Linked DNA regions of Caenorhabditis elegans. The protein of the gene in region 1 interacts with the protein of each later gene in a pairwise test. Each region holds a gene or a part of one and is shown in the gene's direction. Other genes may lie near its edges.

What was found. Proteins that work in one complex are often made in the same cells at the same time.
Region 2: the proteins of pygo-1 (region 1) and tbx-39 interact in a two-hybrid assay, tested with the Caenorhabditis elegans proteins (one large-scale study listed by BioGRID).

Annotation. Positions count from the first base shown.
Region 1 is NC_003282.8:5,081,365-5,087,425, forward strand, and holds pygo-1 (SH3 domain-containing protein), read left to right. Parts: upstream 1-1,938; 5' UTR 1,939-2,018; intron 2,019-2,178; 5' UTR 2,179-2,182; coding exon 2,183-2,365; intron 2,366-2,845; coding exon 2,846-2,967; intron 2,968-3,022; coding exon 3,023-3,281; intron 3,282-3,337; coding exon 3,338-3,819; intron 3,820-3,866; coding exon 3,867-4,741; intron 4,742-4,891; coding exon 4,892-5,067; 3' UTR 5,068-5,523; downstream 5,524-6,061. Other genes in the region: ivd-1 (Isovaleryl-CoA dehydrogenase, mitochondrial), read right to left, coding at 5,660-5,974, 6,027-6,061.
Region 2 is NC_003282.8:15,322,058-15,325,700, forward strand, and holds tbx-39 (Putative T-box protein 39), read left to right. Parts: upstream 1-1,835; coding exon 1,836-2,032; intron 2,033-2,084; coding exon 2,085-2,271; intron 2,272-2,325; coding exon 2,326-3,132; downstream 3,133-3,643. Other genes in the region: Y73F8A.15 (DUF38 domain-containing protein), read left to right, coding at 1-123.

The DNA of each region.
Region 1 (6,061 bases):
GTGAAGACGAAGAGACGCAGAGAATATTGCAGCGTCCCAATGTTTTCGAAAGGGGCCCAAGACCCTCCCGTGTGTATGTGTCCCCCGGTTTTGATGCTATTGCTCTGCCTGGATGACTCGGTCTCTTACACTCTCACATTGGAAGGCTCTTACTTTTTTTGTTCGGTTTATTTTTTCCCTATCTTTTCATTCATTCCATTTGTGGAGCTGCTTGAGTATGACATATTTATTAGTGGTGGCCTAGAATATGATAAAACTCTGCCATTTATTCCATTCTCTGGCCAGGACCTTTGGGCTGCAAAATTCTAAAAATTGAAAAAATTTGGAAAATAAACTTGAAGATATTTCAAAAACGAAATTTTTTGAAGTTTTGGCATAACTATTGTGGTGCTCCATCTTTTAATTTACTTGATTACCAGTTGAAACAGTAAAATTTTTAATTGAAAATTTTTGATTACGGAGCATCAAATGAGTTGCAATCTACAGCTTCTAAATATTTTATTTAAAACAATATTTTTTTGTCTTCATATCCCCAATTCAATACTATCTGTATAATGTTTCATATTCCCCACCTCCCAAAAAAGTAAAAGTTGAGTCTGATCCTCTCTTCTCTATCTCCCTACGCCCTTGGTGCCCAGTACGCCCGACACCTTTTTCTCTGCGACCTCCTGATTTCTAATTGTTCCTTCGTGATCGGACTGTTTGCCTGTTGGCGCGCGCGCCCCAGAAGAAGAAGAGGACACACCTCCACCCACCAGAACTACACCACTTGGCGTTTTGCCAATTCAAGGCCTTTTCTCTGTGATCTCTCGGATCCTAATGTTATTTTCAATTTATTCTGTTTACGAAGAGTTGTTGGGTGAGTCATTGGAAGTGAAGGTTTATGGTCAAATACTAGGTAATCAGATTGTTGGAATATTACTAGATGTGTTAGGTATTACTGTAGACTTTTGCCATTTGTGGGCAATATTAGGTATCGTTGACTGTATGTAGTCTTTGTAGTTTGTGAAATTTTGGTAGGAGTACGGTAGGGTTACTGTAGTTTAAGAATCATCATTCAGCTCTTGAAGTCGGGGACCGAAGGTTCAGTATACCACTGGTTAATTATATATATATTTTTTGCATATACAAAAATCACTGAAGACGTCTAATTCCTTTAATAAATTTGTTGAAACAGTAAATTTTCGCGTAGAACACTAATTCATTTTGGAACTTTTTCATTCCCGATTCTCTGGACAGTACTTTACTTTTTCATCGTATATCAATTTAAAATTATTTTTCTATAGTCTACCAATTTTCTACATCAGATTTTTAGAAATAACAGAATTTTGATTGAATTAATAAATTTGTTGAAACAGTAAGTTTTGCGTAGAACTAGAATTTTTTCGAATTTTTATTTGACACAACTAGAACCGTAGCATATTTGAATCTCGAAATATAGTATTTGAATATTAAAAATTTGAAACATAAGTAGATCATTAAATTTGAAGAAAAATGTTTTTTGCCTGACGACTTCCAAAATAGTGGAAAGAATGACAACTTTGAAACAAAATAAAAAATTTCAAAAATCATTTGAAAAGTTTTACTCCACCTTTACCATCATTTCAACCTTGTGCTTCAGCCCAATATGATCTTTAGTTCATGAACTCTTGAGCATGAACTCTTCTCATTTTTCCCGTCCAATTTCTACGTCAGCCCATCATTTTTTTTGTCTTCTGTGTTTCTTCTTGTTTCTCCTCTCAATCTCTTCACCCTACCCTCTATCACTTTCCGTTTTTTTTCCTTCGATTCGTTCTGCACCGGTCTCTACCAGGCACACGCACCTGGCCATTCACTCTCTCTCTCTTTCTTGATTTCTCATCATCTTCCATCAATTTTTTGTGTCTCAATTCAAAAAAATTCAAATCATGACCCTACTAATTTGTTTAATTCTTCCAGAAACCAATAACTGTCAATGAAAGCAGTGCCAAAGTAAACGGAGAGAAACAAAAAAAAACGCGCTAATAAAATTTTCAACGGTAAGACTTTTTTCCTGTTCACACTTTCTTATCACCATCCACTATAAAACACAACAATACTGTCAATGAAATGAAGTAAAATGAACATTTTTGATGTTTGATTTGCATTCTTTTTGTTTCGAACAAATTCCGAAATTTCTATTAAAGTCACAATTTTCAGGAATATGCCAGCGAGCTCAACATCGTCACCGTCTTCAAAAGAAGAAGACGAAAAGCACACTTCCGCAGATGAAGACGTCACTCCGACTGCTTCTCCGTCGTTAGTGAAGTCTGAAGTTGTCAAGGAGGAGGAAAATGATGACGCCGATAGAACGTTGACTATGCCATCCACTAGTCAGGACATTCAGGTTTGCATTTTTTGATTTTTTTTCAAAAGTCTTAGCGAAAAATACAATTTTCTAATTAAAAACTGAAAATTTCAAATTTCCCTCCAATTTTTTAAAAGCTTTGAAAGCGTTGACATCGGAGAAATGCAAACCTCAAAAAATGGGGTGGAGTCGAGAAGTTGAAGACGATCATAAATAGCTCTTGAGAAAGAAAAAGTATTTCAACTTCTATTTTCAATTAAAAAAAAATTAACTGATCATCTAAAAAATTTCAAACCTGAGTAATTTCCGTTTCTATCGGTAGCTATCTCATGAATCGAAATCCACAGAACCGCTATTTTTTAGTGAGCAAACGCGCTCTACTGTTAACTGTTCGTGTTCGAAGTTAAATTTTTGATAATTTTTTTAATTTTAACCTATTAAAATTACTGAATTCAACGTGATTTTCATCATTTTTTAAATCAGGAAATTTATTAATCTCCTAACCAGCACAAATTTCAGCCTGAGTCATCTCCTGCACACGGTCGATCAGCTCCGTCAAGCCAAGAAATCACGTCTCCACCAACTGTAAGACGAGTAGCTACGCCGCTCGAGGCGGCGGAGCAAGAGTATTATTATTTCACGTATGTTTCCTGTTAAAAAATCAATTTTTAAATGACATAATCTTGATTATTTCAGAACTGATATGATAAACCAAGCTGCGTTGGACATTGAGCGAGAAAAGGAAAAGTTCGACTCGCTAATTACCTGGTATAAACTTCAACGTGACGATGTGCCGGCACTCGGAACAAGCTCCGTAGGAAATTCAACAGCTCCATCCTACGTCAGTGAGAAAGGCTCAACAACGCCAATGTCTTCTCAGCCATCATCACATCAAAGTGGAACAAGCAGTACGAATGGGGCGCACGGTGGTCTCAACGGTTTTTCATGCAGTCCAGTAAGTTTTTTGAAAAATAAAATCAAAAATTATTGAAATAAAAATTGATTTTTCAGTTTGGTCTCGAGAATAACCCTCGATCAAATGATCCGATGCAGTGCATGAGTTCACCAGTCGAATTGGATGAAATCTGTCCAACACTGGAAGATTTTATGTCATCAGCGGCGTCTTCATCAACTCCATCGACATCATCTGCACCACAAATGAACCAGAACCAGAATACCCATCCAAATTCGATAAATCATCATCATCAGCCGGACACCAGTTTATTAATGTTAAATAATCATCATTCGAGTCCTTTAAATCAGCTGAGTTTCAACCATCAAATGCCATCAACATCGAACTCGAACCCACCTTCAAATGCATCTCTAAAACGAAGAGCAACTGAAGAATTCGGGAATGATGGTCCAATGAAGCAAGCGAAAATTGAAGGATCAGAGAACGACAATAATCCAATGAGAAAGCTGGAGATGATGGCGAATTCTTCGAATTTTAGAGGTGGAAACACTATCAATGAAGTCGTAGAAGCTAGCAAAAAGTGAGTTTATAATTTTAAAATTATCTAAACTTTATTCTAATTTTCAGAGACGAACGTACGCTAAAAATGGAAAAACTAGACGTCATCGGAAAGTCAGTCGGAGAAGAGTTTGCTCAACAAGCCCGCGAAGCTCAAATGAGGCAAATGCAACAAGCAGCCGCTGCCGCAGGATCAATGCCACCATCCTACCCATCACCTGGACAGTATCCAGGACCAATGCATTATCCGGGAATGCCACCAATGATGCCACCCGGAGCACCATTTTCTGCAGGAGCCTCGTATCCACCAATGGGCGGACCATTCCCACCGAATCCATATGGAATGCATCCCGGAATGACTCCAGGAGGATATCCTATGTCTGCACCAGGAAAAATGCCGTTCGGATCCCCATCATTCCCTCAAAGTGCTCCATCACCAGCAGCGATGGCTGCAATGCAACAAGGTAGAATGCCAGGACCACCAATGCCACCCCATATGATGACACCTCAGCAACAACAACATTTCATGCAAATGCAGCAAGCTCAAATGGCTCATTTCAATGCTCAAAAAGCTGCCGCTGCTGCAGCAGCCGCCGGAATGTCTCCTGCAGCTCGGGCGTCACCAATGGGTGCCTCACCGTCTCCCCATCATCCTCATCCTTCCCAATTCCCACCGAATCATCCGGCCAATCCAATGTATCACCACCACATAATGATGATGAGAGCAATGCATGCACAAGGTGGGCAGCCAGGACATCCAGGAATGATGCCACCAGGGATGATGCCGCCCGGAATGATGCCGCCCGGAATGATGCCACCTGGCATGCATCCAGGTATGGCCGGTATGCCACCAATGCATCCAGGAATGCAGGGAATGCCGCCGATGCATCCGGGAATGCAAGGAATGCCCGGGATGCCACACGGACCTCCGCAACCTCCGCAAAGTGAGTTTTCTTTTTCTTTGTTTTAAATTTCTCAGAAAAATTTCAATTTCCTATGACTTTATCTGGTCTACTTTTCGGAACATTGCAAAATATTTCATTAATTTTTCAATAATGCCAAAAGTTTGTGCTTCTAAAATTGAATTTTTCCAGATCCCGCTCTCATGGTTGCCGGAAATCGAGCTGGCTCCGCAGAAGCTGCAGCTGCTCAAATGGGCAATCCACATCATCCGATGATGGGCGCCAATATGTGGCAATTGACACCACACTATCCACCACCTCTTCCAGCTTCTTCCAGTTCTGGAGCAGGAACGCCCGTTTCCCGATGATGATTGTATTTAGTAGTCTAGTATATTTCTTGTTGAATGTTGTTTTAACTATTTTACCCAATCAACCTGTAAAATGAATAAGCTCATCCGGATAGTTTCCCCTTGTCCCCAAATTGCTTTAGTCCCCCTATCCCACAGCCGTTCTAGATCTGCCTAAGCTACCGCAAAATTCTCAATAGATTGAGAAGATGCAATTTTAGGTTTGAACTCAGCTCTACCTTCCCATCACCCACCAAAATCCTCACCATTTGTATTTTACCGGTATCAACAAGTTTCTCCATTCTCTTCCATTCGCACAGATACACAAAATGATTCTTCTCTATACTGAGCTTTTCCTTCTTTGAACTTTTTCTCATCAAAATTGCCCTGTATTTTATGTTTCATTTTCCATCCATACTTTTTCAAGTGACATGGTTTCTCTTTTTTTTAATTTCATTGTTTTATAAAATTACATCTAAATTTACTATTAATTATAATTAAACGCTATAGGGGGAATCGACCGGTTTATAGTCACAATTTAAGACGAGCGGGCCTTCAGATGAAAAGCTCCTTTGAAGAATTTGAAAACAAACAGAGATCACTGGGCAAATTATTAGTTGGAGTATTCCTTGTTGAGAGCACGTCCAATGATCAGACGACGGACCTCGCTAGTTCCGGCTCCGATCTCGTAAAGCTTGGCGTCGCGGAGAAGTCGTCCAGCTGGATAGTCATTGATGTATCCGTTTCCGCCGAGAATTTGAATCGCGTCGAGACACACTTGAGTACATTTTTCGGCGACATAGAGAATCACACCGGCACAATCCTTATTCGACACATTTCCCTTATCGGCTGCCTTGGCGACCATGTAAAGATAAGAACGGGAAGCGTTGAGGGTGGTGTACATGTCGGCGAGCTTTCCTTGGAGGAGCTGAAAAATGTTGGAATTGAAATAATCTCATTGTAATTTTTTAAAATCTCACCTGGAATGATCCGATCTTCTGTCCGAATGCAGTTC
Region 2 (3,643 bases), about 10 Mb from region 1:
AATGAAATCAAGTTCAATGTTTCACATGTAGTTGGGCCAAGAACCAATATTGCTGATTTCTATCTATTGCGTGAAGGAGAAGAAGGAAAATGGAGACTTAAATCTGGAATTGTTATCAATTAATATTCCATTGTGATGAATGAAGTAGTACTTGATTAGAATAAAGAAGTTGCTCGAAAAGAATTTTTGTAAAGTTCTGATAATTTTTACTGTTTCTAAACGTTGGTAAATCTAAACGCATAACTTGTTGTTGATATTAATATGAATTTTAAAAATGATTTTTTGATTCCAGTTCCAATCAGAAAATATTGTTGGGAGAAAAACATAATAATTGCAAAACATGGTGACAAAGTTATCAGGACATTGAAACATAATTTTAATTTCAGCATTAGTTAATTTTTCGGAAAAAAATACAATTATATGCACATGGAATTAAATAGAATGGCTACTCAAAAAAATTCTGTCTTTAACTTTATCAAAATTGTTTATCTACATATTGCGTGTTTCACTATAGTAATTTAAAACACTCCGTAAATACTTTTGTATTACAATTTTAATTTTAATGTCAACATGCATAATATGCTCAATGATCCGTTCAACCTGTATTCCTTGATTGTTTTTGGATATTTTTGAATTTGTCAGCTCAATAGTTTAGTTATGTACATATATATCTCAGTAAATTGTAAACCGAAGCTATATTCTTACCGATAGAAAAATATTCAAGAAAAAAGTAACTTCTGTTGGGATTTTAATTAATTAATTCATATTTTCGAGAATAAATGTGGCATATTTCACTAACATCAATAAGGCCACCAAACAAATTGTCTTACTCTCATTAATGCAGCAAATGTATCACAATGTTGAAACAGCAATTTTTATTTTTTTTTTAATTACAGCTTATTAATTCTCTCTTTAAGAATGTGATGTCTAATACATATTTACTAATACTGACATAGTGTTTTGCAGAGCGGAGTAGAATTTTCATCCAAAATAGAAACTTTTCAAATAAATCCTTTTCTGTCTGAAATTTTGTTATTAAAATAACGTTTGCAATGAAATGTAAACCTATCATTTTCTATATTTTCAATTTTGTAAAAGTATACACTTTCTCACTTTTCTGCTTATTATCTATCAAAAGACTAAATATATTTTCCCAGTACATAAAGTTTACAACCATTTGGATTGTCAGGTGTGTGTCCGGAAATCGATCGAAAAGGAATGATATGTCAAGGAGAAGGAAGTAGAGTTGTAAAGTGGTGGATGTTAAGGTGGGGGATACCTTGCACCTATTGTCATTATGTGAATGACAATTGGGAAGAATATAGGTCACCAGTGGAACTGTAACGTAATGTTTTGGAATAGACAACTTTGACATGAAATATTAATATGTGAAAAGGTAATCTGGAATAGAGAAGCACGCAGAAAATTGACACTACAAAATAAAAGTCTAAATGTGGATATCCTTAAATAATTTGCTTTGGATCGGGTTTTAGTATTTTTATTTTAAATTAGTAACTCGGGCGTTTTTATCAAATGCGGCAGCACTCAAAAAGTTACTGTTTCAATATAGTGATTAAAAGGACATCACTATATAAAGTACGATTTCCAGTTTCAAACAGTTTTTGTTGAGCAATTCTAAGAGAGCAAGTGAATACAATCAATCGATAATTGGTTGACTCAACCCAGTGCTCAGGCTCCGCCCACTAAGTGGGGTCTAAAACATTAAAGGGATAGAGAGGATCATTCATTATAATATTTTGTTTAGTATACCGTTTTTTTTCTTTCATACTTCCTATTAATATATGTTGATTTTTTTTCAATATTCAGATTCAATAATGTTTTCACAAGCTCAATTCAATGTTACAATGGCTGAAGAAGACCGATGGAAACAATGGTATCCAAATATGGAAATGATTGTGAATAATAAAGGGCCGAAACTAATTTTTCCCGAACTCAACTTCAATATTACTGGATTGGAAGAGAAATCGAGATATGTTGTACTTCTTTCAATTGAAAAATATGACAATATCAGGTATTTTTTAATGATTTTCAAAGTCACCATTAAAGACAAATCTTAATTTCAGATATGGATACCGAAATGGAAAATGGGGACCTTCAAAAGTCCGTCATGCAACGAAAAAAGAACAAGAAATCAAATATTTCTTACATCCAGATGGAACAAAACTTGGAAAGGAATTGATGAAGGAAACTATTAAATTTGATACAGTCAGGATTACGAATCACAAAAAATTCATGGACAAGGATAATGTGGTTAGTTTGAATTTTTAATTCACTAAATAATATTATAATTAATTTTTATTTCAGTTTTTCGTGGAAACAATGCACAAGTATGTTCCAGTCCTCACTGTCAAAAATATCACGAATGTTGAATCTGCAAATCATTCTATGAGAATGGAAGTAGCCCAATTTTTCCCAGTCACAGTATACAATCAAGAATCGATCGGAAATTGGAAATCTAAATTTCACAAGAACTCAACATATGGAAATAGATTGGATGGGGGAAACAAGAGAAAGAATACTGATTCGAGTGAAGAGCGAACATCAAAACGATCAAAAAATGAAACAGAAATTGCTGTTTCGGATATCCTTCAAGTTGCCTCACAATCAGAAAATTATAATGAGTCCACGAATTCTGGAAGGCTTCAAAATGAGATCAGTTCCTCTATTCACCAGTTCCCATCAACTTCCTATCAAAATCAATATCCACATGCGTATCCAACAGTCAATACTCCACCAATTTATGTTCAGCAATTCACAGCTCTATTTGATGAAATCCACAATCAATTCGATCCGAAAACTAAACAAAATAGGGTTGCAAAAAATGTTCAGTATCTTTCAAGTGTACCACAATTTGCGATCAATCAAAAGGAAAATATTCATCAGAATGCTCCAGATTACCCAGTCTCTCAATTTCCAAATCAATATCCATATGGTTCCTATCCCTATTATTATCCATATTTTCAATCCAGCCAACAGTTTCCACATCTCAACTATTCCATGAATAACTCTATTTATTCTGATTCCTCTTTCCAGTCATCATTTTCTGCTGAAAATTCATATTTCGATGAAAATGGAAATCCTATCCACTATCCATATTATTCTAGCAATTAATTGTCACTTCTTCATTACTAACCCTTGTTTCCTATTTTTTTCAAATTTTCCTGTGATTGTTTTGACTTCTCTGTCCATATTGACTTTAGCTCATTTTGTTTAATTCTGTAAATTATTTCTCACCTAATTTTCTGTTTCTAGTCGCAATAATTTGTAAATCAATTTTCTTTTAATAAACTTTTAACACTAATCTTGCTTTACCGTTATGATAAAAGGGCTCAGAAATTCATACATTATTCATTTTCAAAATTAAACATTGCACTATTAATCCACTATTGAATAAAAATAATTGCCAAAATTACAATTTAATATTATAACGTGATGGCAAAGTTTTCTAAATGCGCGTCCAATTTGTTTCATTTCTGCAAACACCGCGACGACAAATTGCATACCGGGTGTCAGGGCGGGCGTGAGGGGGGCGCGGGAAAGAGGCGGGCGAAGGGCGCCCCCGACACACCTCGCCCGGATGGAAAGCCTATTATGGAGCTGCTTAGCAAAAAAGTTTGCTTTT